3 linked regions of the Styela clava genome follow. The protein of the gene in region 3 interacts with the protein of the main gene of each other region in a pairwise test. Links are inferred from orthologs where the notes say so. Each region holds a gene or a part of one and is shown on either strand. Other genes may lie near its edges.

Region 1 (12,065 bases), on a different chromosome or scaffold from region 3:
TTAATGTATATATAGGTGTGCCTGTTTACTCAAATTGTTGAAATCTTTGTTTTGTCATAGAGTCATGACTTTCATTTGTGCCATCGCAAAACTGATACTGCTTTCTCTTTTATCAATTATTGCATAAGTCAATATGACATCACAGTAACAGGAAAAGAAGAATTATTGGCTCATAAACCTGTTAATTATTACCCCACAATGCAAACAACACAGACGAAGATAAAGTAATGCATATTATCAAACCTTCGCCCCAAGCATGGTCCAATCCTAATTTTAACAAATAAAGCATGATTTATGTATTCCCCATACATGGAATGATTCTTATTTTTAGTTAAAATTGGCAAGAGACAGATAACTGGAAAATTACCTTATAAGTCACTTATTACATATAAAGCCCTATTATATGTTAGTAATTTGCTTTCTACAAGACCAACTAGTTATCATTCTTTTTCTTTTGTTCTGGTGGTATTACCCTTTTAAATAGGAATTTATGTGAGTCCTTAGGGGGTAGCTAATGATAGCATGAGCAAGAAAGTGAGGTGGTTAAATACAATTATATCTTATATAAGAAGTTATGGTAAAGGAGTGGCGCTCCAGAAAAGTGTACCAATATGGAGGCAACTAATTTTATTCGCCTACTTTACATCAAGTTGTGTAAAGGTACTGAAACCTATGCGCAGGGGGTATATTCACTTGACAAACACAGACAGTTTCCGAACTCGTAAATGAACTAAAATGAGGAAAATTAAAATAAAATTATGCCCTAACTCTATCCTGGTACATACACTACACTTCCGAAAGAGGAGTGTGCTTACCTGATATCTAAACAAGGCTTTGGGCAAGCAGATTAATTCATAAGTAATTTCTATATTTTGGAGGTATCAGACTTTAACTAATACGTAATATAATTGTGGGTGAATTAAATGACCCCTCAGGCCCCATATTAGTCACTTCTTCCATCGTAAGTACTAAAGATTTTGGGTCGGTTGATTCAATAGTTGCAGAAAGAATGATTCTTCCACGACAACAATTTATCAAAATGTCCCACACATCCACTCCAGGTCCAAACAGTCAAACCGTTTTTATCAATCTGACAATAACTAATTAGCCTCAGGCAATTTCCCACCCAGCTGGTTGTTATCTTCGTTAGTTAACAATGTTTACGCAATACATTAATTATAAATGATTGTGACGCAACAGTTGGTTACCCTATGACAGCATAGAGGTTTGGTTTCATGAATTATGACTGTACAATAGGTATGTTATCTGCTTTGTTTGCAAATAGGAAACAATGAATAATTGAAATGGGAGATTTTCGTGGTCAGGCAAGACTTAGAATTGGAATGAAATATGTCATTTAGACGTTTGAGTCATACAGATAGAAAGAATGAACTAATTTGAACCAACTTGAACTCGCTTTGACCAGTTTAAACCAATTAATTATAGTTTTTCCTATTTATCAAGGAAGCTGATAGTAACTTATGGCATCTTGTGAGATCCTGATTTCCATCCATACAATTAGATTATGTATTCGTGGATGCTTGTAGAGAACCCTTTATTCTGATACATCGTGCCAATTCTTTTTAGAAGTTTTTTCATAAAATAACGTTTATGATGTTTTCACAGTTATCTTATCCTAACAACCATTACTCTAGCTAAGGCACTTTGAAATTGTGGAAAGGAATATCATTGTTTATAAGGTATTTTGAACAATTAATTATCAACTCTAAATCTGACTTTTATGCTATGTGTATGTGCTTTTATTGTGTTGTCTTGTGTTATAAATCTAACTCATGCTTTATGTGCTTTTATTTATTATGTGTTGTTTGTGTTCATCAAACTAATTTTCATGTGGTTCTCTGGAGTATGTGTTCAACTGCTCCAGTTTATGTGTCATTTTATGTTGCCCTGTTTGAGCTCCATACTTTACCTATTTGTTTTTTAATCATTTCAAGCCAACTTTATAATGCAATTTTAACATTAACAGAAAAACTTGGAAGAAACAAAAACTCTGAACAGAGCAAAGAGTCAAGATGGCGTTGATTCGGGAGGTGAGTCTTTGAATATTTGATTTTGTGGTGAAAATATACAAAATTCAATTTTGACATTCCAAGAGCTGCGAAGCTATAGAACAGCAGTTCCCAAACTGGGGCCCATGGAAGTTTTTAAGGAGGCCACAATGATAAGTGCAAAGCTGATTTTATTTTTCATTTTACAAAAAGCCCTCCATCGGTATTTTTACAACATTTGTTCGAGGACGTGGGTGCATGCTTTAACTGTATTTGCAAAAAAAGTGAAATATACTATCTTAAGGTTGTACACCATTATATAGGATATGTTGTATTATTTTCTGGTCTACTCTTAAGCTTTACTGGAAATAGGGAGGTAACGAAAATCAAATTTTATCAGTGTATCAGCTAAAGTATACTAATTGACATTTCCTGTCCGAACTACTGTATTATTAATGCTGTAATTGTCACGATTATATACTAAATCCTGTTTTCCCTTTTAAATATTCAACCACAAACATGCAATGAATAAGGTGAACAATATGGCTCAGCCAACAGCAATGGAGAGAAATAAAAATATAGGCCTCCACTAATGCAAAAATGTGAAATTTGAGAAAAACACCTTTAAAATAACAAATTAATAATTATTCAGTTAGGGTTTGGGCTGTCAATTATTTAAAAGTTCGAATTTCCTGCGCAATCTGCATTCCTAGCCCTAACCCTAACAGGATAATTACTAATTTTATTATTTTGAGCTTTGGGGGGAAGGGTGTTTTTTGGACTGTACGTCCATGAGATTTATGTACTACAGCACCAAGGGTTTTAGGATTAATCTTCTGTTTTCCATATCATCCTATTTAGTCATTGTGTGATAAACTTGACTAGTCCATTTTAAACATTATTTACCCTTATTTTGGTTTTTAGTTAATTATTCTGTGTCTAAAACTAATATTTCAAAAAAGTTAAACATATGGTTATCTAATGCAAACCAGTGTGAAAGAGATTTGAGATTTGAATCAGAAAACTGGTTTTATTTTGAAGTTAAGGAAGTGTGCAATATCCGTCTGGTGGTGCTAGAGAGTTAGTCAGTTTGTTCAAAATATGTTGAAAAATACTGAAATGTTATGAATGGTAATTTTATCAATTTTCTAAACATAAATCTTGGTACACATACTTTGGGAGCGCCAAAATTAAATTATTAGCACAAATTTAGGAAGCATGGAAAATATCTGGCATCTCCTTACAGCAGTTGTTGGCAAACAACGGTCCATAAATAAATTTTTGGGGCCTTTTAACGACCTCCTTTCATTGCATAACATGAAAAGTGCTCATAATGTTATTATCTATGTTGGGATATATGTCATAACAATGGTTGTTGTGTCCCTTTTGTTTTTGTAGTGATTACCCTACCCAAAAGCACATGCCCGTTGTATACTTACGTTACCGGAAATGCGTTTGATTGGCCCAGTAGTAGATAAACTTCGTCAACTACTGTCTTACAGGTTGTCCGTGTAGTATTTTCATATCTCTTGTATAAGCCTCATCCTCGTCCTATGTTTTTGCCTTGTGTGTTATCTTTTCTGCTATTGGGATATTTTTGACTTTACAGTAGAATCAGTGTTCCCATATGAGTTATTATTTTAATGGACACATAATCTTCTTATTATCTTATTATTTGAGTCAACCCAAGACGTTTTCAGAGATGCGGGGCAAATGTATTTCTAATTAGAGCTGAGATCTGAAGCATGAACTCGACCCGAAATTTTGGTCGGGTCGAGCCTGAAATGCTAATCATTACATTCAGGTCAAGTCGGGTCGGGTCGGGCTTCTCTATCGCTGACTTTTTTTTCGGCCTTGTTTTGGCCACGAGAGACCGTGGTTTGCAAAAAAACAGATTGCCTCATCGACACGACACATACTTTACCTAACTCTTGCAATGACAATACAATGAACCCCTGAATAAAATATGAAATTTCGGGTTTTCTTGTGGCTTGGGCCTGCAAATTCAATTAATTAATCGGGCTCGGTCGAGTCGGGTTTAATACCTACGGGCCTGGGTCGGCCCGGGCTGGTATTTTTGGGCCCGATGTTACCTCTATTCCTAATGCATAGAACGGTGTGTCACACCGCCGCTCTAGGAAAAAAATGGTATTTGGGTACACACTATTTTAATCTACCTTATAACCTAATATAATAGGCACCTTTCATTATAAAGGCCCAAAATCCTTTCAAAAGTGAATTATGTTAAGTTTTCATTGTATTATGAATATGTCCATAACCTATTATTATGTCACATAAAGAGGCTATGTCAGCCTTTGTTACATCATAATATGTTCATTCAAACGTGATATGATTCAATTTATCCTTATTTCAAATCTGGCCCGCATTATTAAATAGTCTAATTAGCATTCATTTTCGAGATGTTGATGTTATACCCTGCTCATCTTTGGGCCGGATTTAATTCATATATTTTATGTTAGGCCCATGCTTTATGGAATGAAATAAATTTTCAGATTATTCAGTATAAATTGAAATGTTTTCTGAAGGCTTTCCTATTTATATATCGAATGATGAATAATCATTATAGACTTCTGAAGATGACTTTTAGACAGGATATGAAGTTGTGGCAAGATATTTTGTTTGGTATGGTAAAATTGAACTGAAACATTTTCCTAAGACTTCTCTATTGTGAGATCAATTTTGGTTTTACTAAGTATAAATTGAAGCGTTTTTCAAACTTTTCTATTTACATATAGTATGATATTCAATATTGAGACATCAAGTAGAGATGTGCCAAGATGGGAAAAAATTTTCGAGTTAAATCGCTCAAAGCAAGGTGATTCAGATAGAAGTAGAGGAGTCTCATCTCTGAATAGGTGAATAACTATTGAAAGTATTTAGAACCAGGTGTATTGTGTTCAAGAGCTAATCCAGGGGTAGGGGTGGGGTTTGAATTCTATGTATTCTCTCGAAATTGTGAGATTAATGTTGTGCATCAGTTTTAAAAATTGTGTTTCGAATCAAAAGTCTAATAAAGTACAATACATATAGTACTTTGCATGGAATTGCTGTACTGTTTGAGATCTCTATAATTTGTTGCACGCCCTTCTACGTGGTCACGACCCTCAGTTTGGGAAGCCCTTCTCTAGCTAATAGGTCATTGAACAAATTATTTGAATTGTCTGTTCACAAATGCTTTTATAGTTTTATAAGCAATTACTATTTAGTCTTTGAGAATGGACTCATTTTCCACCTTTTTATATATCAGCTGATAATAATACTTCGCATACCTGATGAATTATTTATTCCCAATTAGAGAAGTACTTCCTAATTTTAACTTGGCCGTACACAAAATACTGCTATTACATGCTACTTAAGCATGGCCCATCTTTAAATTATGTTCATAAATGTTCATTTATGACTTGAAGGCGGCCACTGTTTATCAAATATTCACATTAAATGGCTGATGTTGTAAGTTATGATAGACTATCTTATGCTTATATGAAGGAAGAACGTTTAGATCTGAAAATAGTTTCTATGTTGCTTTGGCTCTGGATATCGTATAGAAAAATTCAAATTCAAATTAAGCCGAGTTTCTGAGCTTCGTTGCCATCGAAGTTTAAGATCATAAAATAGCTAGATAGGGCAGAGCCTTGTTCAGAACGAAAGACACAAAAAGGCTTACATAATCAAAAAAATATATTCTATACATGGCGCCAACGCTCGATATGATCTGTCAATTGTAAAACTAAGTTTCCAAGCTACGTTGGCCTAGTAGTTAAAGAACTTAAGATAGCTAGATAGTGAAGTGGGATTCAATAGTACTTGAGCCTACTTGAACTACATATTGTGTTTTTAAAAGTTTTGTTAATTGGAAGGCGTTGCCTGTTTGAGGGGCTGTTTTAGAATTCAGAATGAAGTCGAATTTTCGTTATCTGTAAAAATGTAGAAATATTGTCAGAATTCGACAATGTCAAGAAGAAAGATGATAGGAAGGATTAATCATATGGCTTATTACTGGATTAAAGCTGTTATTTTTATTTTTATAGTGTCTATCTGAGGGACATGATTTTTCATATTTGTGCATGGTGATGGTTACCAGTCCATGATGGTTGTGGAATTAGTAAATCAGCTTTTTATGTTTCGATTTCATTATTTTTATCTTGTAGAGGGGAAGGCTGAGAAATTGGCAACATGCCAACGAAGCATAATTCTTCTTTGAGGCAATTTCAAATCTTCACTCTGAAAAAGGCTATGTACACACAGCCACAGCATTGAGCGACTTTTTTATCCCTATTTCTGCAATTTCCACCTACTTAACACCTGGGATAAGCTGGTGGGCATCTGTTAATAATAATATTATGTTATATTATATTAAATATTATAAGATATCTTTTAATTCATTCACAAATCCAATCCCTGCTTGTTAAATCTATTTCAAACCCTATTTCCCACATGTATCTAAAATTACATATAGCAATGTAAACACACAATATTCCGAAATGTAATGGTGTGATCACATATGGAATGCCTAAACAAATATTTACTCTGGTCATTTCTTGTTTGCTGGTCGTGCTAGGGGTGAGTTAGTTAGAAAGAAATCAGTCAGCTTGTATGTTAGTGATATATCACCTAATTTTTATCTGGAAAATAGAAAGTGGTCAGTAGCAGACAGGACTGGCGGGTCCTTATGTAAAATAGATTGTGTGGTACCCAGTATGAGTAGAGATAGGAGAATCTAAAAGAATTGAATTTGTCAATATTTCAATATTTTCAACTGAATATTAAAATTATGATCAAGGCAACTTCACCTCATAATTCTGGCATATAATAAAGTAATGAAGTATATCACTTTTATTATACATGGATATACTGGTTAAAAATAATTACTTGTACATAGAATAAGAATGCGCCCCATGATAGTTTGAGGTCCACTGCGATTGTATTTACATAGGACATTCAGTTTTCGCCATCCCTGATTACTACTAAAGTGTTCTTTACCTAAATTAAAATTCATTCATTCAATACACATTAGGTTTCTAGAAGCATTCTTCGCTGAAGTAGCCAAGTTTGAATAGATTCCATATTGCATATCAAAAATTCATATTTCAGAATGTGTTCAATATACCATATTATTCATGAAAACAGATTCATTGAATATAACAGGGTGTCCATAAAGTCCCTTCACAATTCCAATTTTGTTAGGAAATCAGCTCTCAATATATCTCAACCAGGTTTGTTGTTTTTTAATCAGTAATTGTTTAAGTATTTTTTTTCATTTGATACATCTGTGAAGGCCAAAACTAAATATGGTATCGATGAATTCCCTTTGCAATTTTAAAAAATTTCAAGACTTAATGGACATTCAATTCATACATTCAAAAATATTATTTTATGAAGTAGTTGGGAAGCAGAAATTATTGAGTTTTGCTGATTTCCGATGATAAGCAATCATACGACTATAGCACTTATAGGTAACAAAAGCAAATAAAATTAGATTAAATATTTGAACAACACTCACAATACATGGGAATGCTTAACTTCTGTTGGAATTGTGTGCTTGAATGGGTGCGGACTGTTACATTCTTGATTTATGGGTTCTGGGTATTGTGTGTTGGGGATATAAAATAACAGTATATTATGGGTTTGTGAGGTTATGGGTTATTATGGGTACTATTTACAGTATGAGTTGAAAAAAATGAAATCGTAAACTGCAAACTATTGACTTATCTATCATATATTGATAACAACTGCTAGCTATTCACTGTAATCTAGGCCTTAGCATGTCAAATTTTTTTGGTCGACATTTTCTGGCAAAAGGTTCCACAACTGTTCAAAAGGTAGGTTACTAGCACATGTTGAATTTTTTGTAGTACTGGGATTTTTTTGCCTTCCGAACACAGATCTCAAAAGCAGCTGTTGATAGTATGGAATGGGATATTTTAAACTTTGTGTTCATCGGTGTGCACTTCGGACTATTTAGGATTTGTTCAAGTAAATTTGTACTGTGTGCTGTGAATGAACAAAATAAGTCATATGAAATGAAAAAATAAGGCGGACAAGATCAAGTAGGATAGGAGGATAGGATTTACATATTTATCCCCGGGGAGAGGAAAGCCGATAAGATGGCTTATCCATATGGCGAACCACGACCTCTCGTACGGTTACCATCCCTGCATGGGATTCGAACCTGCGAACCCACGCAGAGTAATTAGTGGTGCAGTGGCGAGCGTATTCCTAATGTTTAGCCCGTTGAGCCACACCGCCGCCCCCAAATCTAACAAATATTGTTATTTTTAATAAGCACCCCTATTTGTGGGCATACATTATGAGATCTACCATCTTTTTTACCACACTCATAACCATTTTCTTGTTTCTAGGGCGACCATGTCTGGTTATTGGATGCAGACCCTCAGTCTCAGTGCTCGGTACCGTTGGGTGCGATGGTCAAATCATCACAAGGTGGACAAATAAAAGTACTGGACGATGAGAAAAAGGTTAGTAAGATGGGTAACATTAAATTACGGTAATATTTATTTTCAGGGCAGAAAATAAGTAAAATAGAATAAGTAGGGTAACATAAATATTTACCTGGGAGAGATAAAGCCAATAAGATGTTCTAAGGTTCCCTCTGAGGTGCGCAACTGCTCCATTGCGCAGTACCACCAAACCATTTGTGCAGTGAAATCTCAATCTCGTGCGCTCGCAACATTACATTTTCGAAGCGTAGCTCTTCATGGCCGTTCTATGTTTCACATGTATTTTGGTTGCCATTATCCACTACATGTCTGTTGGGAGGAGTCCCCTTCAAGCTTACCCCCATTTAAGCTAATTGATTACAAATTTTGCTCCTGTTGGGAAGATGGACCTAAAAGTTACAGTAGTATGTATAATCTATAACATCTAAGGAAGCTTCTGGGATTCAGATATTTCCAAGAGGGGGGACTTTAGAATTTAAAAAAGGTCTCTCTCAAGAACCGTCTTTGACAAAATGTGGTGAACTTTCTTCTAGCCAATCGGTTACTAATTTTATGTGCTTCTGTCATGCCACCAGGGTCTAATACATAACTAAATCCAAACTAGGGCCTTGCACAGAAGTTATTCGAGTGTGGATCTGTGAATTCTTATTTTTTCTAATCAAAAACTGAAAACATTTGATTAATTTTTCAGGAAAGATGGTTGAAGTTTGCTTCAGCAAAGATCAAAGTGATGCATCCAACATCTGTAGAAGGAGTTGAGGACATGATCAGACTTGGCGATCTTAATGAAGCAGGAATCCTCAGAAATTTACTCATCAGATATTATGAAAATAAAATTTATGTGAGTGATGAAAGTTGGATTCTAAAATCAAGAAATTATTTTTATTTAAATTTGTTTATATGTGTTGCAAGGTTGGGATCCCCAGTTCAAAGAGCCATGATTTGGCTGAATTCCAAAAAATGAATCCCCAAAATAGCAAATACCCCGAGTACACACTTCATCAATAATGATCTTACGCTTATATGAAGACTCTTAACCTCTAATTTTATTGAAATTTTGGGCTCCCGTAGTATGTGCACCAATATGGTGGACACTGGAACGTAGTATGTGTACCAGGCCATAATTTATTTCAATTTTTTTTATTTTAGTTTTAATACGTGCTAGGGGACTAGCCAAGTGACTCCTGTAGTATTTGTACCCGAAGTTATGGCTTAACCCCAACCTGGTACACACACTACTTTCCTGTGTCCGCCTTCTTGGTGCACATACTACAGGAGTACCGAATTTTTTTTTTGACAGTTCGTCAAATGTCCCTCTTGCAAAATATGGTCCCATTAAAATCCTGAATATTATTTTAAACATTAAACCTTTTATACCTAATAATTCTTTTTGTTTGTTACTTTTGCGGGACACAGACATATGCAAGTGGAAAGGTAACTTTAAAATAAATGTGTGTTGTCTGGTGTAAGGTTTAATTTCAATTATACTGTAAAATATTAAGGATGTGATATTGAATCGGGGAAAATTCACTGCCGTCTTTGACTTCAAATTTCGAGATATTTAAAGACAACTACAGCTGTGCTTAACAAAAATAACTTTCAACTCAAGATAAATAGGAATTTTGGTATCAATTCCAGACTTGAAAAACAAATTTTATTTTTTTGTCTGTTGGTAATGTTTATAATTTTTGAGTTTATCACCATTCAAAGTCTGATATTCTGACTCCGGTTCTTGATTTCAGAAAATTCAAAAAGTTGGCTCTGACGCAGAAAAGTTTTAATATGTATACCACTCTAAAAATATCATTAAAAACATACTATAGGGGGACTCCATATTTTGATTCTACAGCGCAGATAAAACACATAAGATTGAAATTTAACTTTTAAAGCAGACGCAGACGCATGAGTTAAAAACATCTAGTTTAATTTGTATGAGAATGCTTTTGAAATTGGGTATTATTAGTTGGGCGAAGAACATTCTAGTTTCAGTTAGTTAGCTTATTGAATATGGTTATCATTTGACTAAATTCAGTATGAAAATGCTTTTAATTAAGAATATACGTTTCTATTGGGCACTCCTGTAGTATGTGAACCAAGATGGCACACAACCTGAACATAGTATGTGTACCTGGTTAGGGTTAGACCATAGTTTCAAGTACAAATACTGCTGGAATCACTGGCTAGTTCCCGAACTCGTTAATAGAACTAAAGTAAGGAAAATTGGAATAAAATTATGGCCTAACCCTAACCTGGTACACATACTATGTTCAGGTTGTGTGCCATCTTGGTGCACATACTACGGGAGCACCTTATATTATTTATACATGTTGACATTCTGTGTTACAGACCTACACTGGTTCAATCCTTGTGGCTGTCAATCCCTATCAAATCCTTCCCTTGTATGAGGTGGATCACATACGCATGTATACGAACAGAAAAATTGGAGAATTGCCGCCACATATATTTGCGATTGCAGACAATGCTTACTTCAACATGAAGAGGACACAGAAAGACCAATGTGTAATTGTCAGGTAAGGCATATGGGTTATGATGCGCTTTTTAAATCTTCGTTCTGATTAGAGATTTGGACAAGCGGACAGTCATATTTACCACTAGGTGGAGTAATGGGCTATCTTGTTTTTCTAAATTTGTAAAATACAATATTAAAATAATTAGGTCTATTACCGTGACCCAGGGGTTCTCAAACCATGGGTGGTTGTGACACCAGATTTTTCAGATGTAATCCTGACATATACCTCCTTCTCAGTGAGATTTTGATAAAATATCCAAATCTGAATGCCCAATCTAGCAATCAGTGTAGTTTTTCATGGCTTGGTTTTTCTTGAAGCTTTCATGGCTTCATGAGTATGACTATCGTCGCAAATTTATTACATTCCACTCCCCACATTATCTTTGCATGAGGTTGTAGGTATTGGTCATGATCAACGTGATTGTTAAAGGTACAACAGCCCGAAAGTTTAATACTATCGTATATTTTGTTTGTTTAGGTTTGGCCCAAGCCTCATTTAATTGGGCTTGTGTTTTTGTGTGCGTGATGGTGGGCAGGCATATGAGATAGTTCTCATGTTTTAAACTTTTTTTATAGGTTTTGCTTGCCCTCCAGAATTCTCCATTTTTAATTTATGTTTGTTATGGAGTTTTCGAAATAAACTATCTATCTATCTATCTAATATGTTTCTAATTATGTGTGAACACCCAGCAAGCTGTTTAAGTAATTAATGTTCCCGAAGGATCATCACAACAAATAAAATGCATACGATTACATATCTTCCAAGATTTGACTCGATTTGAAAAAATATTCGATTCGATTCCAAAATCATCAAGTAGGATAGGGTTTACATATTTATCCTATCACTTGGCGAACCACGGCCTCTCGTCCGGTTACCATTCTATGTGTGGTATAGGATGTGTAAGCCAGTTATTTTTTATTTTTTTGAAAGCTTGATGTTTGAGAATACCCATCCCCTACCTATCACCTATTTATTGGAGATAATGTAAGTGCATACCATCTGTCTGGCAGTCTTCCCGTATCTTAAAATAGAAAACAAATTCTTTC
Region 2 (11,243 bases), on a different chromosome or scaffold from region 3:
AAATTGCTTCACTAGCTGGTTTTCCGGCCATGCATACTGCATTATTTTTCTTAAAGAGACAAAAGCTTCCAGCAAAAAAAATGTAAAACTGACAAGCAGGTGTAAAAAACAAGATTTTAATGGAACCAACCAAAAATGCATGATGCTTCATTATGGCAAACTAAGACCATCCTATCTGAGAATACAAATTTATAAAGAAATCACTATGGCATTTGAACTTTTCCATAGTCAGATCAATATCGCTTCGGGAATATTAAAAAAATTTGCAGCTATCAGTAATTTAATGTAAAGAGCAATGATTCTATTAAGGCCATCTCAAACTAGGTCTCCCAACATCTTTTTGAAATTCATAATCGGAAAATCAAAATTTCTCAATTTAGTATTCTCAATTGAGTACAATTTATGAACTAATATGATTTAGCAGAATTATAGAAAATTTTTATTACCAAAATGCAAAGGAGATATTCTCATTCGGCCATCGTTTCAAACTCTGCCCCAGAATAGATTTTAATTACTGCAGAATGCTGTCAAATTTGTTGCACTTTTTTGACAGCTTATTGGCTAAGGGGCGAACATTAGGAATTGTCAAATATAAATAAAACTTTTCATTGATTTGATGAACAGTGGCGAAGAAATTACAATTCATCTTTTTCTTGTTTCGCTTCATCTTGTTCTTCTTCATCTTCCGTTTGATCTAATTCATCTTCCGGTTCGTCTAAATCTTCTGGTTCATCCAAACCTTCGTCCTGTGAAAGTGAGTCAAAGTTAGACAACATTGTACAGACTTTTAATTTAGGTTATTTCTACCAAATATGATACTGCCTTATAATTTGATAAACACTACAAAGAAAACTTTTATTTAAGAAATACAATACTATGCACAACTGACCATCTTAAACATTAGACATAAATTTAGAGTTTTTAAAAAATCCTTTTCCCATAACTGAACTAATATAATATAATAGAGATACAATAAAGTTAGGGCAGTTAAGTATGAGTGTCCCCAACACCAGGAGTTGAATATTCTAATACACTTTTGTTATACAATACGATTTTTCTTCAGTAATTCATATACTGTTGCACCACCAATCAACAATACACAAAAAATTATACTTAAAATGGAATAAATCATAATCTCGCTGCAAAAATTCATTTACTTCTTAATTCTAAAATAAATGTATCAATCATTTCCCAAGCCATTCCTTAATCTATATCAAATCATTACCGGTAAGTATCCCATATGTAACAATTTTTTGGCTTTACTATTTTTTAAACACGGGACATTAAACCATTATGATTAACTAAACTAAAACCCTATTTTGATGTTTTAGCTAAAAATTAGACCAAGAATTTTTTTTAGATTGCGAGGAAATTTAGTTTCGGCACAAGGCTCATTGTTTTCCACTTTTGCTTTTGTAACACTGTATATAAATACTGTTCATAAAATGTTTTTTTAGATCACGTTTACATGGCCCACCAGTCCAAGTGGACAGAATTTTTGGCCCCTGATCCAAAATCTTTGCCCAACCCTGATATAGCACATGACCACATATTCAATGATAAGAATATTTGAACATTGATAAAATGAATTAGATATCCAATTTAACCTGGCAGTTAGGCAGCCAAGACAGTCAGCCTTCAGACAAATCTGAAGCTATACTTCACTATCACAAAAAAAAATGTTTTTACTCACACTCTCGTCATCAGCTACATCCTCCTCATCCTCATCATCATCCTCACTCTCGGCTTCTGCCGTTTTTCTATCTTCCTCCTCCTTGGCTTCTTTCATTTTCTTTTCACCAACAACAGTCTCCTTCATGATTTTATCGCATTCATCTTTTGCAGTTTGAATGTCATCAGTGATAAGGAAATTATCGAAAATAGTTCCGGATTTGACCTAAAAGTGAAAATAAATAAAACATCTACTTATCGAGCATATCTCACATAACCAAATGAAGAAAGCAATACAACATAGAAAAATGCAGCAATCAGATATCTTACTTAAATTGGCACTGGTTAAAACTAGGCAGTAGTAAAACTGTTTGCAGAAGTTAGGATGTATTTACAAATCACAAGCACCCATAAATTTTTACTGTCAAAAAATACTCCACAAGAATAAATCACATACAACACACGCACTTTTATCTTGCAAAAAGACATTCATGATGAGTCAACTAAAACAGTTTATTAACAGGAAATAATAAAAAAAGCGTCATTTTGGCAAATTAGTTCAAAATGCCCGATCTTAATAACCATATGCGCTTTCGCATTTCAGATTGCATTGTACGAACTTTAATTAAATCCTTATTAAGTGTATAAGTGGCACTAAGTGCCCTGCGATAGTTCGGACAATTCGCATATATGAAGTAGGTGAAGGCCACACAGGAATGCTACCGGTGTCCCGGTCAAGCCGACTTTACTTGATTTACAAAATTAATCCAAGTCTGATATTAATTAAACAAACCTGCCATAAATCAAGACCAATAGCACCGATATCTTCATACAAGTATAACTTATCATCTGCAACGTAAGCGGGGTTGGCAATCATAGGGTGGACCCACTTTCCTTTGTAGTCTGGGTTATCGATCATTGGGGCTTCCCATTCACCCTTATAATCGGGGTTATCGATCATTGGAGCTTCCCATTCGCCGTCCATATCTTCATCCCAATCGTCAGGTTTTGTGGCATCAGGATCAACAATGTGTTCGGGCTTGTCCCAATCCTTCAGATAAAAATGCAAGTTAATACTAAACAGCAGAAAAGAGTAATAAATATACATCTCTTTTGAATTATGCTATGTAAGACATTTATAGTAAATAAAAATACAAACATTGTTACTTAAAAATGAGAATTTAGACCACTGATTAAAATGTTCGATAGTCTTCAATGGTTGAAAGCAGGTCAATTTCAGATTTTAGCAATGCAATATTTTTGCAATTATTAAAATGCATCTTTTAACAGAAGTTTTAAAAGATATTGCATCAGGCCCCGCAAGGAAAATAAAAGGATAGCTCAAATATGACTTGAGATACTAATAATTTATTAATTTTTTTTTAATGAAGGTTGAGAAAGGTAACAGGTGACAAACCAGTGCTCCCAATGTGCACCAAGATGACGCACAACCTGAACATAGTATGTGTGCCAGGTTCTGATTCAGGTTGTGCGCCATTTTGGTGCACATACTTCCGGAGCGCCAACAAACCTCTGGTTTTGTTGCATCTGGGTCAGGGATCTTCTCACGTTCGTCCCATTCTTCCTGTGAGGGTTTAGATTGATCAGGATCTTTAATTTCTTTTGCTTCCAAGAAATCCCATTCTGTTTCAAGGCTTCCGGATTGTGCTTTTGCATTGTCAATTAAAACTTCATACGTATTGTCTGGTTTCACAATTAAGGTGTAAACGTGTGTAGTTTCATCATCCTTACATCTGATATCTTTCTTAATTAGTAAATTCTTTCCCTTGTAATGAAAGATGACATGCACTTTCTTAGTACCTGGCCCACAAATATCAGGACCTGAAATGAAAGATTATTTTGGTAAGAACAAAACGTAGACACACGTTTCAGTTGCTACATCATTGCCACTTAGCAAAAATATGGATTACGTAACACGACAAACACTTAAGATGTTCATCACCAAACCGGGTATGTGAATGATACTGATGAATATTACCAGCAAGAAATGTCCAATAATATTTTGTTGTATTGTACAATGAAGTTCGTTAAAACATACTTATTAATGATGATTTAATTTTAGAAAGGAAAGATCAAAAACAAGAATTTTTTTTAACCTAGCTTATCACTAACTTTATTCAAAGCAATAACTAACAATTGATATATTTTGTACTGCCATATCAAGTATTTAACAATAGTTAGCTCTCAAAATATCTGGGCCGGGCTAGGCTTCATTCAACAAGAACAACAGTAAGTTGACAATATTCACATCACCCTGCATTCAATGGTCAAGTCATATCTTACCAAACATAATGTTATATTGTGAATCTCCATGCATATCTTCAGACTGTAATGCAGATGGGAAAAGTTTGATATATCCTCCTCCGCAATCAATATTTTGTTCATGCTTGACAGAGAATTGAATGACGAGATCTTTATCCTCATTGGAAAATTTGTCAAATTTAGAAGAAATTGCATAGAATCTAAAATAAAAAAATTTGATACGTCACTACAATACAAACGAGACTCAAAATAAATAACAGACAGAGAGCATATAAGATCGAATACGAGCAAAATCTTCCTGGGTGGGTATACTATTCACAATTTGCAACTACACAATCTTTAAACCACAACACTAATAAATTTGGTTCAACATGCTGAATACTACTGTGGCCTATTAAATTGTCAATCGAAAATTAGGGTCTAGTATAGTTTCATAACTCAATTGCTTCTAGTGGGCGTAGCCAAATAATTTTGTGACGTCGTAGTGACGTAATTTTTGGATGGCCTAGTCAAGTGAGGGTTAGGATTGACATACAGACATAGGGTCAAAATCCTCACGCTACGCCCGCTAGAAGTACTTGAGGTACAAAACTACGCAAGGTCAGAAAATTAGAACTCGATTATTTTTGGACTTAAATTTTCCTCAATTTGCAGATTTCTGAAAAAAATCTTCATGAAAAGATTATCATTAACGTACTTGGCATCTTCACTAGTTTTGAGTCCTTTATCCTGTTCTTCATCATTATAAAATTTTCCTGCTGTTAAAATCCATTTTCCATAATCAGATTTGTGTTTAGATTCTTTCCACCGAGCTTCCCAATCCGCTATAAATAATAAGAAAAATACTTAGGCTGTTGCATTGGGAGTCTTGAGGTTCCCATCAGTGAGTTTTTTATTATGGTATGAAGATTTATTATACGGTACTTTATATAAGAGGCGGACAACTCGACTACACAGACAACTCAACAGAGACAACTCGACTACAGAGAGTTCTGGTGAGTTGTCCGTCTCTTCGGGTTTTCTACGGCAACATTTCAAGATTATAGGAGTGTAACTTCGATCTTTTCAGGGTTACAATGTTGAGAAAAACACATTAATATTCTCTAAAAGGCATTTTTATGTCTGACGTTATAGAACTGTGTTCGTTTAAATTTTCGAATTATAATGATACAGGACAGAGTGGTCCAAGTATGCGAGGATGAAGGGCCGCAAAAATTTTTGAGGAGTACTTGCGGACCCAAAAGTGATCAAAGGTCGCGAGTTCACTCACTTCAAATATATTTAGGAATAAAGAGTTTATCGTTCTAATCAGTTTTTCAAGGAAACTATATAACAGCATAAAGCTTTTAGTTTTTAGTTTTATTACGTTTTAAATTGTTTCCCAAGAAATAAGGTGGTATTTTCGGTATCTTTTCTCGTGTTTGGTTTTGAAATGAAATTTATTCTTTTGTGACAAATGCTACTTGAAAACACACCCGACACTGTGGTTTAAGGTTGTTGTGGGAAATACGTTCAGACGTTTACTTCGGTCACCTTTTTCTAAACCAGTAAACTTAAATTTTATGAAAACACTCACCGTCTGTGAAATAGTCTTTGAAGTATACCTCCGCATTGACTTTGGCCAAGACTAATAGACATATAAATGTGACAAAGAATTTCATTTTTTATTGTCCTAATTACTACTTTATTGGAACCCTGGTTGATGTGAAAAAGATTATTAGAAGAAAAATAAGCCCATTTGAATAAACTCAAGTACACTGTCACATACTTCGCAAATCTAAACAAGCTTACACTTGTATATCAACTAAAATGCATGAATCTATAAGGCAATTCGGCTGAAAACTGAGCGTAAGCTTGCCGCAATACTCTGTAGCAATAGCAAGCGTGTACCCTGAATGAACGCACACGTAAAAGTTACGTCACTGAAAACAAGAGCTGGCTCGCTGTGATTGGTCACGCCACCGGTTGAAACTCCAATCATACAACGCCACAGACGTAATACGAGGTCTGAAACGAGGCGCGACGGAAGGGAAATACACGCAGCAGATTGTTGGCAGCAGGAGTTTCCCCCTATTTGTTTCGGGTATTTATTCGATAAAATAAACATTGCGGAGGAATATTAGGTTAACCGTGATCTGTGACTGGTATTACTTCCATCGCATAGGAAGTATTCGCGCACGTCGGCGGCTGGCGGGTATCACCAATCGCACAGACTGAAGCCTACATTTGTATCGGACTGAGCCACTGATAAAATCACTTAATATGGAAGAAAACAGGAACGGAAAGATGCACTTTGTGATCTCTTTATGCTGAATATGAGAACAGTTAATTGATCATAATAAATGCTTATTGTCATATCACACAACAAAGACGTCTTGCTTTTATATGTGGGTGCAAATTCAACTTCATTTGAATCTATATACGGTTGCTAAAACCAATGGGTTAGGGTTAGTATGGGTTCAAATGTACGGGAACCGAATCTATATCCATCCATAGTTTTGCTGATTTCTCAAACCGAAATTATCTGCTTTAAGATGTATAATACATAATCTAAAATTCGATTAATAAAAAGTACGCACACTATGTACAGAAAATTCTAAACTCTTTTTCGAAGTTCAGATTCTTCACAGATGTCACCTGTATCGGGGACACGATTCCAAGCATCCTTTGTTACCATACCCCGATGTAATGTACAAATTTTCCCCAATCTGTGTTGTCAGCGCCGTTGATTACGGTGCCAGCCTGGGTTATACTCCAACAAAATTGTACTGAAACATAGCCTAAAGAAATGGGGATGTACAAAAAGATAGAATATCAGCAGTATTCTACCGCTCAATATGTGATTTGAGTAGAAAAGTTCGTTCTGTCAAAACTGTAATCTCGCGCATATTTCTTGTTCTCGCAACTTGGTTGCTTACAGCTAATCAACCCCGAAATGCAAAATGGCCACTTACCTCATATCCAAACTTGGAACTTTTCTTTGAGGTGTTTGGCGCAATTCATTATGACAATGTGATTCAGGCGTGACATTATCATTAAAAATGTGAACGCATTTGTCACAATTACCACAAAGTTTGCACATTCTGATTTTGCTGATGTATGTCAGACAATCGAATCAATATAAGTTCGGCAGTTGAATGGGCTAATGCTGAAATGAAGTGCTTTGTGATCTAGAATAGATCATAGGTTCTCAAAGTGCTCCGTACGGAGCCCCAGGGCTCCGCGAGAGAAACCTAGGGGCTCCGCGAGATATTCGATCAAAATACGGACTTGGTTATTCTGTAACTGTTAATAAGCAAAAACACCAATAATAAAATTCGAGCGCACAATTATTGTATTGATTTCAGTAACTACGGTACAACACCCATTGATAACCTAACATAACATCAAAGTTTGTGATTCACAATGTCTAAAAAAGCGTTTTTAATCTGTCGCGAGTCCGCTAAAATAAAAATTATCATGTTTTCTTCCGTTTTAGTATTATATAATACCGCTTTCCAATCAAGAAATTTGGGTTGCTGATTCACCCCCTTATTAATTATTTTTAGCATCTCGTCGCCGATGATTATATTGTATTAACTTGTTTTCCATACTAAACTCACAATTACGCACAAAGACAAAAACGTAATTATCGCATTCGCGGAACAAGCAAGAAAAATGTGTGATTAGGGAGAATAAACACCACATATAGATGTTAGGGTCTAACTAAAAAACACGCATCGCTACGAAAACAATCGGTGATTACAGCAAAATGCTATCGCGCATGTTATGAGCGACTTCTTCATTCTTCCAAAATATCAAAAGAGTATTCATTAATATGTGTGTCAAATTTACAGGCCTAATATGTATAATTTATCCGTGCAATTTAGAATAAAAAGTTTTAGCATTTAAATTAGGTAAGGTATTTTTAACTTACTCAGGAATATTAATCACTAAATATCAACATGTATTTTTTGTCTGCTTTATTTTCAAAATTTATTTGTGGGGCTCCGTGAAGAATGGTCAACCTCTTCAAGGGCTCCGTAACATCAAAAGTTTGAGAACCCCTGATCTAGATCATTGCTCCGCAACCGGTGTGCCGCGGCGCACCGGTGTGCCGCGATATGATACCAGGTGTGCCGCACAGGAATTGCAACTCTTCTCTCTTTTTTACAATTTTTTTTATTCTTTGTTAATTTTAATTTAGTCTACTACTCTACTCTACTAACGTAAAGTTAACATGTTTCTACGTTAGCTTGAGCGACACCAAGTCAAATTTCTGTCACTGTGCATTTGTGACGTAGGATAGGATAGGATTTACATATTTATCCCGGGGGAGAGGAGACAAAGATGCTCCAAAACCAGTCTGCATTTGTGGGGAGCAACTTTCAAATGAAGCAATGGTTCCGAGTAAACTTATGCGCCACTTAAATACGAAATACGGTTTCGTGTCAAATTTGGCGAAAAAGCACTTAACTTTAATACAGCAAAGATAAGCACTGGTACTTTTTCGCAATTAACAATGAACGATACGACTGGATCCGGAATCCTTTCTCAACTAGTGCTGAAATGTTAACGAAAGAATTACTCCTGCGTATTCGAGAAAATTTCGTTGAAGTAAGAAATGACAGACGCTAAGACTGAAATTCAGCAAAATTCCACTTGATGTGTTTTGAATTTTAATAAAAGAAGAATACAGGCGCACGTTTCCAATGCAACTATTGAAATATTGCTCCAGTTTTGCACAACTTATATGTGCGAACAAAGTTTTTCCTCTTTATTACTGATCAATAACGATAAAAGATCCTGCATAAAAGATGTTGACGGCGAACTTCGAGTTGCTCTTTCACGTATTGATCCTAATATATAGCGATTGTGCTCATTAAAACAACCACAAATCTCTGATGGAAATATGAACATAATTGTTGTGGTGTGCCGTCGAATTTGGCAAGTTATATAAATGTGCCGCAAGTTAAAAAAAGGTTGCGTTGCGTGTGCAGGCCAATGTAAATCGTATTTTGTCTTTTACACATCGGGAAATTCGCTAATGTTTGATTGATATTTCTTCATAACTACCATGTGATATTGAAGATGTCAATATAAAAATTGGTAGCGAAAAAACACAAATTAGTTGAGCTAGTTTGGCTGATAAACAGGTCAGAATCCTGTTCTCATTTCTACACGCGGGGCTGAAGGAGAGCATGTCTCAGAGTTATCGGAGCCAATACCGCGAACACTATCCCTGTAAGCAAAAAATAATATCAACATCCATATTCCAACTTATTTTTTAAAACTCTGGATCAGATTAAAAATCCTAATATATCGGTCTACATTTAGCCGATACAGCCGTCTTTAGTAGATAGGCCTACTACCACGTAAGTAATATTTCTCAGCGTGATATAGTAATGGACTAATAATACGACGATGCTGCGATTTTATCCACCCACTTTTCATCATTCATATCGGAATTTTGACCCGATAAACTGCCGTATAAAATTGCTCTCTCATCGTTCTGCATACAGAAAAATGAAGTGTGATTTTATTTGTGTGTGAAATCTCAAATTTATTTCCAAATGTACGCAACATACATAGCACATGCGTATTGCAAAATGACAAAAATGATTCAATAGTCATATGATTGTAAAAGTTGAAACCAATGGAAACGTGATTTACAACATTGATTTAATTCGATTACACATATATATATATATACAGGCAACCCTACATCTAATTCGATATATGCTAACGCAGGCCTTGAAGATCACGCCGTTCTGCTGGGAGTCTGCTGTTTCAAACCTCGACGTCGGTTGTCGTAGAAATGCCGTTGATTTAGCAATTTTGTGAAGCGAAGTTAATCCTGCTGTGAATTCAGTTGTTCATACATCTTGAATTTCAGTTTGAGTTGACGCTGGCATTGCATTTACCACGATTATTGCCGATGATCTTTTGTCAAAGTGTTTGTCTTGTTTATGCAATGTACATTGAGCTGTGGCAGATATAGAATCACATCTATGGTGATCATCGAGATCAAACACTTCCACACTGCCGACATCAGTTACAGTTTCAACGTGAGATGGTGTGCACGAGCCTCTGTGAATTCTGTAAAAAAAAATAAGTACTGAATCAACTTGTTATATAAACTCAATTCATAAATTGCCCCAAAGTGTATTAATCCTAAGTACGAATGTAAACCGACCCATATATATGTATCTGTTACTGATAAAATGCTGTTCGTGGTAGCACCATCACGGTGATTACGTAGGATGGGGTTGCCAAGTCAAGTATAATTTTTCCAACCAGTAAATAAAAAAAAATAACCACAGAAAAGACGGAAAAAAAATTAAAATTACAGTTTTACTGGAGAAGGGAAGTCGCGGGGAACCAGAGCTGGTTATCGAGCAGTGACATCCAACGTTCAAATATCTAATTTAAAAAAGTGAAATCTTAGGGTTAGGAAACTACTGTTTTTGGACGGTGAGTACCGTGTGAATTTTCTCTACGCTACGTGTTGATTAACAATCGCACTTTCCGTAAGACTGGATGGTAAGCAAACTAAAGACCATGAACTATCATAGAATATAGAAATAATATTCCTAAACTTACCTGCTTTTATACCACGATCTACGCAAAGTATAATTTGGGAGTAATTGGGGTCTTTTGAACTGTGGCCTTTTTACAAAATTTTCGTAATAATTGGCGTATCGTCGGACTTCGTTGTCTCTCTGAAAAAATAATGTCAGATTTTTAAACTGTAATAAAGTTGAAGAAAATAAAGGTAAACGTCATGTGGAACGATTAAATTGTCAAACTGTCTTTTGTAAAACTATCGATCGATAACTTATTGGCAATATTTCTCTTTTATTATATTTTTGTGGTTACAGTTCCGGGCCGTCTGCGATGCCAGAATTGTATGAATTCTATTTTATAACGAGTTATCTAATAGTAAGCAGTTTATTCAACCGCGAATATAAATTTCGAAACTAAATGTTTTGAATAATCCTTCTCGCGCTGGATATTAGCTTCTCAGGGCAAAAACATGAAATATTTATTCGTGGCAGAATTAGTCTGTCTTTTGATTCTTTCTATCCGCAGCATAAATAGGTCTCATAAATATTTAAGAGATTCTTTTATAAGTTTGAAAAATAAAGTTGCTTAGAGAATAGAAACAGAAAAATCAAGAATATTTTACTATTGGCAATATTCAATTCTAATCTATAAAGATTAAATATATAAAGTATCAATATTCGGTTATAGATATCATCTTATGAATCCTATTTTGTGATTGTCGAAGATAGCTCTGTAATCGGGAA
Region 3 (10,832 bases):
TCGTCCACGGAACACTTGCACTTTTTATCTCGCCTCGCGGAACACTAAAAGTTGAAAGGATAAAATTGATAAAGAAAAACGGCGTAATGTAACCGCTACTCAATCTAGTGGCGAGTTGCCAAATGCGCCGCGAGAACTAACAGAATTGTGTTAAACATACCTAGAAAATGACTGAATATTTTGCATATTGATTCATATGAATGTTTTATTGTTGATTAATTTAAATACTGTGTATATAAATCAATTCATTCATTTTACCATTCTATGTCGTTTACTTTCCATTACATAGTGTTTGCCTAATGGAGATAGAAGTACTTGCTGCAGTTTATTTATCTATTGAATAGAGTTTGGCCAAATAAGAAATTATTTTGAAGTAAAACCAGTCAAAGATGAAGGAAGAATAGCGACGGTTATCAAAAATTCCACTACCCCACCCTAATTGGTCCACTTTAGGCCGACGGTGACGCAATATCGCCGGTTAGTTGGGCGGCAACTCCACGTTCCATAGATTGCCATGGCGACCATTTTAGACGTATTTTTGATTCTCTTTTCACGGAACACTTCGAAGACGCTCGCGGAACACTAGTGTTCCGCGGAACACAGTTTGGGAAACGCTGGTTTAGTATATAATTTTTATTGATTCAATGCTTGTATTCTGGTTGACGAAATAAATCTCTCTCTCGTATTCCGTCATGTTTTTTAACCTAGTTATGAGACCGGTATTGTACCGTTATAGGTTGGAGATATTCATATTTTTTGTATTCCGATCCTGCCTATTGGCAGGCTGGCCAACATTTTTGTTCGTAGGCCTATTTACTAAAGAATTTAGTTTTCACCTCTTGCAGCCTTGGTACGGTACCGGTAGTTTAAATAACACGTCAGCATGCCTTCAGTAAATGATTGCTAGCTGTACAGGTATAAATGCGTAAGACCAGTAAACAAACGTGATAGAAATGGTATGGGTTATAGATTGTCAGTGTTAAACGCTTCCAGTACCGGTATCGTACCCAAAGCGAAATTAGCGCCGCATCAAGTCCATGCTTCCGAAAACAAATACCTGGCTAACTAATCCCATACCCGACCTGGTAACCGAACGAAAGGCCGTGGTTCGCTATATGATTAAGCCGTCTTATCGGCTTTCCTCTCCCCCGGAATAAATATGTAAATCCTATCCTATTTGCAGCGCATATCCCACAGAGCACGGCGCGTTGGCAGAATCTCATGATACAGCGAGAATGACGTCATCGGAAACACCGCGCTCATTAAAATTTTAATGAACGATTATCAAAAATCTTGACCATGTTTATCATGATAAAAATATCAAAAAAGATGTAAAAAATATTCTATCCTCAAAACTGCCCACGTCTACAATGAAAGATATCTAGAAAATTACAAAAAATGCAAATTTCTGCTCTGGTGATCACATTCCCTGATAAGAGCTAATGTTAAAATTGTTTTGTTTACATCACTTTTCTTTTGCGCGTAGGATGGGTTTTTATTGAATGAGGTCTGCGATTTTTTAGAATGCCAACTTTTACTCACAACACCACACAGTGGCCATTCTTTGTTACCACTTATGTCACGTGACCACGACTTTTACATAGAGTCATTAATTCTTCTCACTTTCCCAAATTGTTTCTAGTTTCGGGAAGTGACTGGAAGATTCGGGTCGGTACCGGTAAGTCTGTAAGTAGGGTATCCGTGTATAAGCTACAGCTTTAACACCGTGTATTCATTCACCTAGTTACAAATCATATAGGTTTGTGTTTCATAGGCGGTACCGGTACCGTACGTTACCATATATCATGTTACATGTATTATTGGGTTTATTTAGGGATAGGCTAATTTAGAATTTTGCTAGGTTACCCTCACCGTATTTCTGCTTTCCGCTTCGCTACCCTGGTACCGTACACTATCGGTACTTTGTTTTATTTCACAATTCCAGGGTTTTAATGATTAAAATAGCCTATATCATTCATTGATATACCGGTACCGTACTGCCATAGCTGTTGATGAATATAGAAAATAGGAAAACAGATCAGTGTTTTACGTGGTGCGATAAAAACAAAACTCTATGGATTTAAGTGTATTTTCTGTGAATAAATATAAATCAATCCTTCATTCATTATTACTGTATAATTATTATAATTAACGAAAGTGGAGCTGAACCTAAAAATTCCAACGCAAACACGATAAGACTATTCCAATATTCTATTGATTCTCTTCTATCTGTCTATTGCAATATCGCATAATGCTTCGTTGACAAAAGTACTTCAGCACTCGAGTTTCTGAGTTTGGCTGGGCCAAAACGTCTGGTCTGAAAGTCTATGTATTTAAACATCTAGATACCACTCCAATCTAACTACTTTTCCACAAAATCTCTACAAAATTTGCTCAAAAACTAAGAAATTTCGGTATAAAAGCATAGTCAAGTCCAGGATTTTCCTGTAAGACTGTAAGAAGTTGTGAAAAATTAAGTAAATAGAGATATACTGGCAATGAAGCAATAATATAAATAATATGAAATATATCATTTAACGATCTTTGGAGTTTCAGTTCGCGAGGAGGTCTTTTGAGTTCTGATTTGTGCTTTTAATTACTGAATTATACTACAGTACTATATTATTGACAGTATCCCTTCCACATCAGATTTTACACTGATATTGTTATGTTCAATATTTTATTTATTCATTGTTACATTGTTATTCTGCTCTGTTTCTAAGTCACAGATTCACTAAGAATTTGTTATTGACACTTAATGTTCAACAAAAGATAACTTCTATGAGCCGAGTGTAAAGAGAAAATTCAGTAGTAGGCCTATAGAAATAACAAAATCTGAAGTCCCATTATACAGTAGGGCACAGTTCTCAAATTCCAAGATGTCCTGACATTTGGTTCAATAAAACCAAATACTCAATTTATCTCTGAAATGAATGTGTCTGGCACAACGGCAGATGCGCCACATTGTGCCATGCTTGTTTTGGTCATGATTCAAATCAATCATGACGTGTGGCGGCCTGCTATAACTCTTGAATGATACTGTAGAATCCAAAGGGCTCGTTTTTACATTGCGTTTCCTTTTAGTTTAATATGCAGTGCCGGTTCACCCATACAAACGTCTAGATTGCATCATGGAGGAAAGTTTTATCCCCACTGTTATAATAGACTACTTGGAAATTGGAATCGAACAATTGTACCGTACTGTTTTATCACACTCTTATTGCTGTTTTGCTAAGGCCATCATAAACTTGGGAATATTTGATGAAATAAATTTTGGCATGCCGTTTAGACTATGTAGAAAGTAATAAATATATAATATAGCTTAGGGCACTATCATCATTAATTGAACTCCAGGGTAATACAGTAATTAGAGAGTCTATTAATGAAGTGAAAATGACTTTAACACTAGGATGATTGTGTCACTTCTATCCAATATGTATTCGGTTATAATTTTAACAGGTTTTCACAATGATGGTTGATATTTTTTGTTAAAGTATCGTACAAAAGATAGTGAGAGAAGCCATAGAAAAATCACTAAATTTATTTCTGGGTTAATTTAGCTGTTAATTGTTGTTATTTTAGATGTTTGATTAATTTGTTATTTTAGGTTTGGTCAGTTCAATTTGGTTTTTAGATGCAAAAGTAAAAAAAAATGTTGGTTGTTAAAATTTGAATTTTTTCGGCTTAGTAGTTGGATGCGGATGGATAGGTAATGAGACGTTACATTTAATTTAAGGGATTAAATGGTAATATGTAGAAACTTGCATTGAGCTGATTTGTACGTCTTTTGTTTTAGGACTAGAATGCTATTTTATCGGATTTGGACGTGAATCTGTAATTAACAAAATTAGTTACTTCCATATTAATACACACACTTCTGGAGCGAACAAGCCAGTTCTGTGACAGATCAATTAATTCAATCTTCAACCCTTGTACAATTAATTATATCTATAATAATGTTGTGCAATCTCCTGCTTTTCATTTTATTTTAAACTGTAAATTACATTTTTTAAAAGGGGCACGGTAATTTATAGACCAGAGGTTGTCAACCGAGATTCGGCAGCCCCTAGGGTTCTGCCAAAACGGTCCAGGGATTCCACAGGTTCAAATTTGAGATTCTATGTTAATATATATACATATATTAATAGTTTATGCAATTCTTCTCACAGCCTTACAATTATGGATAGATTTGTGATGAAACGTACGTTAAAATAAAAACCCGTTACACAGGAATACCTTGAGCCTTGAAATGTTTCATTGGCGGTAAACTCCACAAAAATAGTTGAAAACGACTGATATAGACCCTATGGAATACAATTTGCTTATTCATTCTATGAATTATTTGCATTTTAGATTTCAGTTGGCATATCATTTAATAATAATAGTTCAAATATAATGACATCATTAGCAAGAAAACGACTGATGAGGGATTTTAAAAGAATGCTTGATGACCCTCCTGAAGGAATCAGTGGAGCTCCTATCGAAAATAATCTCATGAAATGGGACGTTGTTATTTTTGGTCCTGCTGAAACCCCATTCGAACATGGAATATTCAGATTGAGTATGGATTTTACTGAAGATTATCCAAACAAACCTCCATCTGTTAAATTCATATCAAAAATGTTTCATCCAAATGTTTATTCTGATGGTAGAATATGCATTGACATTTTGGAAAACAAGTGGAGTCCAACATACAATGTTTCTTCCATTTTAACATCAATACAATCACTTCTTGATGAACCGAATCCAAGTAGTCCTGCTAACTATCAGGCTGCTCTTTTATATAAAGACAGTCGCATCGATTATGCAAAAAAAGTTTCTGTAATTGTTGAAGAAAGTTGGAAAGAATGCAAATCATGATAGCCGCTATATTTGTGTATCATTTTTACTTCATTATTAGATAATATGATGTTCTTTTTCTGCCCATATTCTTATATTGAATTTATTAATAATCGTACGCAATTATATGACAATAGCATGTTCAGTATTGAGTTAATTACAGAATTCTGTAGGTAGAAACATTATTCTTTTATTTCAAATTTATGTTAGCCAAGCATCGATAGATCAGACGAATAAAAGTCTGTCATGAATAAATATGCTTAATGTGGAATCGTCATAATATTATTGATCTATTACTTATCTAAATGATTTCAGGCTGTATTAATTAATCCCCAGAATATTTGTGTGGTTACTTTCTTCCTGCCATAAATTCCCATACATTTCTGTCAAGTACATTCTATATTATCATTTCATTTTGCAATAGTATTCCAAAAAGTTTCACTGAAAATTTTTGGTTTATTATTTTTTGGCAAAGCATAAGTTTCTATGTCATTATTTAGCATTTATCGTATATGGTCTATACTTTTATTTTTATCATTTATATTGTCTATATCTAGCTTAGGGACTTCAATATTGACTTAGTTTTGCATTCTAAGGTAAAAATAGTTCAATTGTGTCTGTATGAGCAAGTCTGACAAATCATTACTGAAATATATTTGTTAGGATAGCATTTATATATTTATCCTGTTGAAGAGGAAAATTGATAAAACGGTTTAATCGTATTGCAAACCACAGCCTCTCATCCTGTTACTTGTCCATGTCAGGTATTGGGTAAGTTAGCCAGTTATTTGCTCCAGATGCATGGACTTGATGATGGAGGAAGCCGTAACCGACCAGCGGTAATGTGAACCACCCTACGACGGCGAGGAGTCCAACAATCCTCTCGAACATGATTATTCCTCACAGGATCCGAACCTGCGAACCCAAGCAGGGTAATTGTGAGCGTATTCCTAACGCTTAGCACAATGCGCCGCATCGCCAAGTCATCGTCGTTAGTTAGTGTCCGCAACTCGTGAATTCAGTCATTTTTATTATTTTTAATCATTCAAACTTTTATTTTGTATAATAGCAATACCTTTGTATTCTGTTTACTAAACTAAACTTACCAATGGCCATTCTTGACACTCACTCGACAAGAAGGATTCAGCCTTATTTGAGAGTGAGTCAATTATACATGCTATGGGTCATTATATTATACATTAGTGATTTTTGCTATTATCTCAAATGTTGTTCTTTTTTTCCTCTTCGGGGGAATTTTAAGATTTACATTTTGAGTTTGTATGATTAAACTGTGCACTTCTTAATTTTTGTTTCATAAATTGTCAAACATATTCTTTATGAATTGTTATTGGATCGATTTTTTGGAATTGATCAATTATGTCAGACAACATTATCCTTAAGTTCATGGCGCACTGTCATTGTTTATTGCGCTATGCATATTATAAAGGCATATCTGATAATAAATGGTACACTTTGATTCCCATCCATCGCTTTGTAGAAGTTGAAACTCATTTTTCCATATGTCTTTCATTTTGGTTCGCTCACGGTATAATCCCTTGAAGGCTAAAATGAGCTGACTCACTGATGACTCATGTTTTACTATTTAACTAGAAAAGTATTTTGGAAATCAATATATTATTGAAAATATTTGAATTGAATGGGTAGGAATTGGTATCTATTTCAACCATTTTGAAACTTTATTGGTGTGACGTGTGAGCCTATTATCTGTTGTCAACCCTATAATGCCTGAAAGGATATATTTTGAAATATAAAATATTTCTAAAAGGAATGATTCTTCTTTATACATGACTAAATATGCTTGAATAAAGTTCCCATTAAAATGTAAATATATAACTCAACTGTACTAATAATAATATTTCCTATTATTCTTGAAATTACAAGTTTAAAATTTATAACTGAATTATTATGTGTATGTATTTCATTTTTCAAAGTAGAGGTGTAGAGCATTTGTAAATTAGGATAATGGTATAATTTATTACCACACATCCTTTTACAAGCGAAATTCTGGTAAAATATGGGGTAGGCTTTTATTATCGAATTGTGTATACATCACTGGTGACCTTATTTTTATGTCGCACATTGCTATTAATGTCTTTGTTGTTTTTTCAGATATTTAGATTGTTGTTTTTTCAGATATTTAGATTAAAATAGGGATTGAATAGTATATAAGAAATTGGCGAACCAAATTAAAAAAGTAATATGTCTACACCAGCTAGAAGAAGATTAATGCGTGATTTTAAAAAATTGCAAGAAGATCCTCCTACTGGAGTAAGTGGGGCACCAACTGACAACAATATAATGATATGGAATGCTTTAATATTTGGTCCAGTTGATACACCTTTTGAAGATGGAACGTTTCGATTGACTATAGAATTTACAGAGGAGTATCCGAATAAGCCTCCTTCTGTTAAATTTGCTTCAAAAATGTTTCACCCAAATGTTTATGCTGATGGCGGAATATGCTTAGACATTTTACAAAACCGATGGAGTCCCACATACGATGTTTCATCGATTTTAACGTCAATACAATCACTTTTGGACGAACCAAATCCGAACAGCCCGGCGAATAATCAAGCTGCACAATTGTATCAAGAAAATCGTCGAGAGTATGAGAAAAAAGTTTGTTGCATCGTTGAGGAAAGTTGGAAAGAATGTAATTGTAGATGTTGATCCATTTGGCCGATTTTATTTTGTGTGCTTTTTACATTATGTTTTATTGATACCGTTGTCAAGATTTTTTCTTTATTGTAGCAGACAATACTATAACTAACTTTGGTAACCGCTTAAAATTATCTTTCTAAAATGTACAGTAAAGGTATAAGTGAACCACCCATGCTTGCGCCTGCCATAATGGTGTGGTCATATCTACGCATGCTTCAGAAATATTTCACCATAGAAAAGTGGTTGTATAATTACCAATAAAATTTTTCTGTATAATTTCCACAGTAAGCCATTGTGAAACAAAATCATGATATGTATCTACTTGATGAAAATGTTGATATAAATTGCACAAAACATTGTTTTCTGTCCATAGATTTAGATTCTTAAGATTAATATTGGTCTTTCAATATATTGGAATCCATGAGAGCCAGACTATTTGAAACAACGCTAAAAGCTCATTTGTCTTAATCATAACGAATTTAAAAACAATGATAGTTTCCTGGTTTTTCCATGAGTTGTATACTTCTAGTTTTTTCTTTACCTCTCAGCACTTTGTTGAAGCCTAAGCTAAACTGTGTGAATAGCAAATATGTAATAAACACTTAAACACTCAAGATATTGGCATGGACGATATAAAAAGAACGTCATTGTTACAATTACAATTAGCTTCTCAATACCAAAATCTCAAATGAAACTTGACTCCCAAGTCCCAAGTGACTTGTCTCCCAATTAATGTTTAAAAATAATATTCAATTTTTGTCTCAATTTTGCTGGTGATTATATGGAGTGTACTATTCTGCAAGTTTTCTAGCATATTGGAAATTATGATTGTAAATATTATTTATTATCAGAAACAAATGTTTCATTGGGCTTGCTTGTTTTATATGATGAAAAGCTCACTTTTACACAGTGAAGTTTGAGCCATCCATCACCCAAGCAAAAAAAATCTAGTTCAAGGTTTTATCAAAAAGATATCCACAGGCAAAACCAAATTAAATCAACACAAATGATACTCGCAACATACAATAGTTTGTATATTGGAAACTTCTTTGCTCTGTGAAATAAATTATTCTATTATGAACTTATATTTATATACCAGTAATTGTTTAGGTGGGTGATTTAATGAGGGAAGGCAGACAAACATAGACTGTCACACCCTACAAACCTACAACATTCAGGAGTTCAATATTCCTCTTGCACTCAAAATGTCCCCCAAAGTATCTTGGCCCCCAAAGTATCTTGGCCACCATTAGCAGTAAGATCACAAGTGTGTTGCTGACATTTGCAAGGTGTGCCAACCATGGAGTAAAGTTTGGTCCAGCGTTGTACTCGTTAGCTGATTTATCAGCCATTTTTGATATCTAAATATAAAGGCTGTTATTGTATAGAGAGAATTCGAGAAAAAGATTGGTTTGGTATTCGGTACAATCAGTTGGGAGTGGATAAAAAATTCAGATCTTGGTCATCGGTTTTTGTTTAACTGACATGTGTATTTCTTGACTCTTGACTAAGCGAGATTAAATTAGATTGATTTAAAAATTCGGCGCTCCAGATGTGTGTGTACGTACCAATATGGAGGTGACTGATTTTGTTCGCCTACTTTACATCAAGTTGTGTGATGGCACTGAAGCCCATGGGTAGGGGGTACATAAACTTGGCTAACACAGACAGTCCCCGAGCTTGTAATAGAATTAAAATAAGGAAAATCGGAGTAAAATTATAGCCCAACCCTAACCTGATACACACACTGCGGGAGTACCAAAAATTCAAATATATCGCGCAATGTTGTACGATTTTACTCATATTTACATCGCCTTTTTATGCCCACAGTAAAAATTAAAGCTGCGCCTTTTGTTAATAGGCATTTGAGCGTAATTTTATTATGCGGACGCAATAGATTTTAGTTTCATATGACTGTAGTAACGAATAACACCTGGTGCCATTTAAAAATCTACGTCACTTCCTTTCTGGGTTAATGTTCAAGCAGTTGGTTTCACGCCGATGTTGGTCATACATCACGTGAGCGTACGTATCAGAAGCGTGACGTCAATTAATTTATAAAACGTAAATAAACCCCGTCTTAGTCAAACTACATCATTCGAAATAACTTGTTAAAAATTAGGTCTATACGCGTAGGAGATTTAGCGAGATTTGTGTCTCGTAAAGGGATGAGTTTGATTACTGCATTCCGAAAAATGACGTCTTGTTGTCTATATCACTCACGTTTCTACTGCTAATGTATTATCATGAATAATCGCGTATTAGCACTCAATTGCTAATGCGCTGTGAACATACACATTAACATAAAGCAAATCGATGCCAATCTATACTCAATGCATACCAATTACTGTGAAACCCCAACAGAAGAGAATTATTCTTCGGAACGTTGCTGAGAAAAAATGGCATTTCCATATGTTTGAGTATTACAACTTTAATGTAATAGGAAAAGCGTGGCTCGGGGAGATTTAGCCTTTCCATTCATATTTTCTTAAATCGACAAATTTTACCGATGACCCTATTAGATCTCACTGATAGACTACGTTAAACTTGGGTTTCCATGCGACGTCTTCTGAAACGGTCTTCGGTTCGTTAAAAATGCCTGCTTTTTCACGGTATAATACCCCTTTTTCAAGGTAGCTCGCGGTTGAGACGACTCATGACAAAATAAAGTCATTACATATCTAAAATACCACATAAGGATGTGAGATCAACTGCCCGACAATATTTAGTTTTGATATATATTGCGCTCATGCTAATTAGTTATTGTTGTTAGAAAGATCTGGTATAAATATATATTCAATTTAGTACAATGAAATTACATATAAAGTATATTAGTAAATCAGAAATACATATTCATCGCCCATAACACCCGCGATACGGCTCCTGAATCAGTTGTTGAGATTACACCACTCGTTAATAGCCGACTTTTTCAACGGATATGTGTTGGTTTTCCTGTTGATAAAAAATTCAATCCATGATCGATATAAATATTTGAAATGGTTGCTTGATCCACACTACAGGTGTGCCGCGGGAACAAGGAATATACGAGATTTGCGAAGTCCAAGAAAGTGTTTTTGAACTGTCGCGTTCCATCCCATAACAAAACCCGTTGGTGTTTTCCGTTTTAGTTTTAGTATTTTATAATGCCGCTTTTTCCATCAAGAAATTTTTGGTTGCGGATTCACTTCTTTATTCTATCTTTAGCATCTCGTCGCTGATATGATTATATAATAATAAAAAAACTAACTCGTTTTTCACACAGGAGTCATGGTTCCATGCGAGAACGCAAAAAAGTAATTATCATGTCTTCG

What was found.
Region 1: the proteins of ubiquitin-conjugating enzyme E2 A (region 3) and unconventional myosin-VIIa-like interact in a two-hybrid assay, tested with the Caenorhabditis elegans proteins (2 studies listed by BioGRID). The link is inferred for Styela clava from reciprocal best matches to the Caenorhabditis elegans genes ubc-1 and hum-6.
Region 2: the proteins of ubiquitin-conjugating enzyme E2 A (region 3) and calreticulin-like interact in a two-hybrid assay, tested with the Caenorhabditis elegans proteins (2 studies listed by BioGRID). The link is inferred for Styela clava from reciprocal best matches to the Caenorhabditis elegans genes ubc-1 and crt-1.

The regions. Positions count from the first base shown.
Region 1 is NC_135258.1:2,554,323-2,566,387, reverse strand, and holds the start of unconventional myosin-VIIa-like, read left to right. Parts: upstream 1-7,433; 5' UTR 7,434-7,792; coding exon 7,793-7,849; intron 7,850-8,389; coding exon 8,390-8,506; intron 8,507-9,179; coding exon 9,180-9,329; intron 9,330-9,904; coding exon 9,905-9,922; intron 9,923-10,834; coding exon 10,835-11,019; intron 11,020-12,065. UniProt on the Caenorhabditis elegans protein: Myosins are actin-based motor molecules with ATPase activity. Unconventional myosins serve in intracellular movements. Their highly divergent tails are presumed to bind to membranous compartments, which would be moved relative to actin filaments.
Region 2 is NC_135260.1:6,838,693-6,849,935, reverse strand, and holds the start of calreticulin-like, read right to left. Parts: upstream 5,691-11,243; 5' UTR 5,616-5,690; coding exon 5,531-5,615; intron 4,779-5,530; coding exon 4,652-4,778; intron 4,155-4,651; coding exon 3,976-4,154; intron 3,514-3,975; coding exon 3,203-3,513; intron 2,723-3,202; coding exon 2,465-2,722; intron 1,898-2,464; coding exon 1,694-1,897; intron 747-1,693; coding exon 636-746; 3' UTR 1-635. Other genes in the region: uncharacterized protein LOC120347616, read right to left, coding at 9,810-10,032, 10,537-10,655. UniProt on the Caenorhabditis elegans protein: Molecular calcium-binding chaperone promoting folding, oligomeric assembly and quality control in the endoplasmic reticulum (ER) via the calreticulin/calnexin cycle.
Region 3 is NC_135259.1:10,178,878-10,189,709, forward strand, and holds ubiquitin-conjugating enzyme E2 A, read left to right. Parts: upstream 1-7,022; 5' UTR 7,023-7,059; coding exon 7,060-7,530; 3' UTR 7,531-8,606; downstream 8,607-10,832. UniProt on the Caenorhabditis elegans protein: Catalyzes the covalent attachment of ubiquitin to other proteins.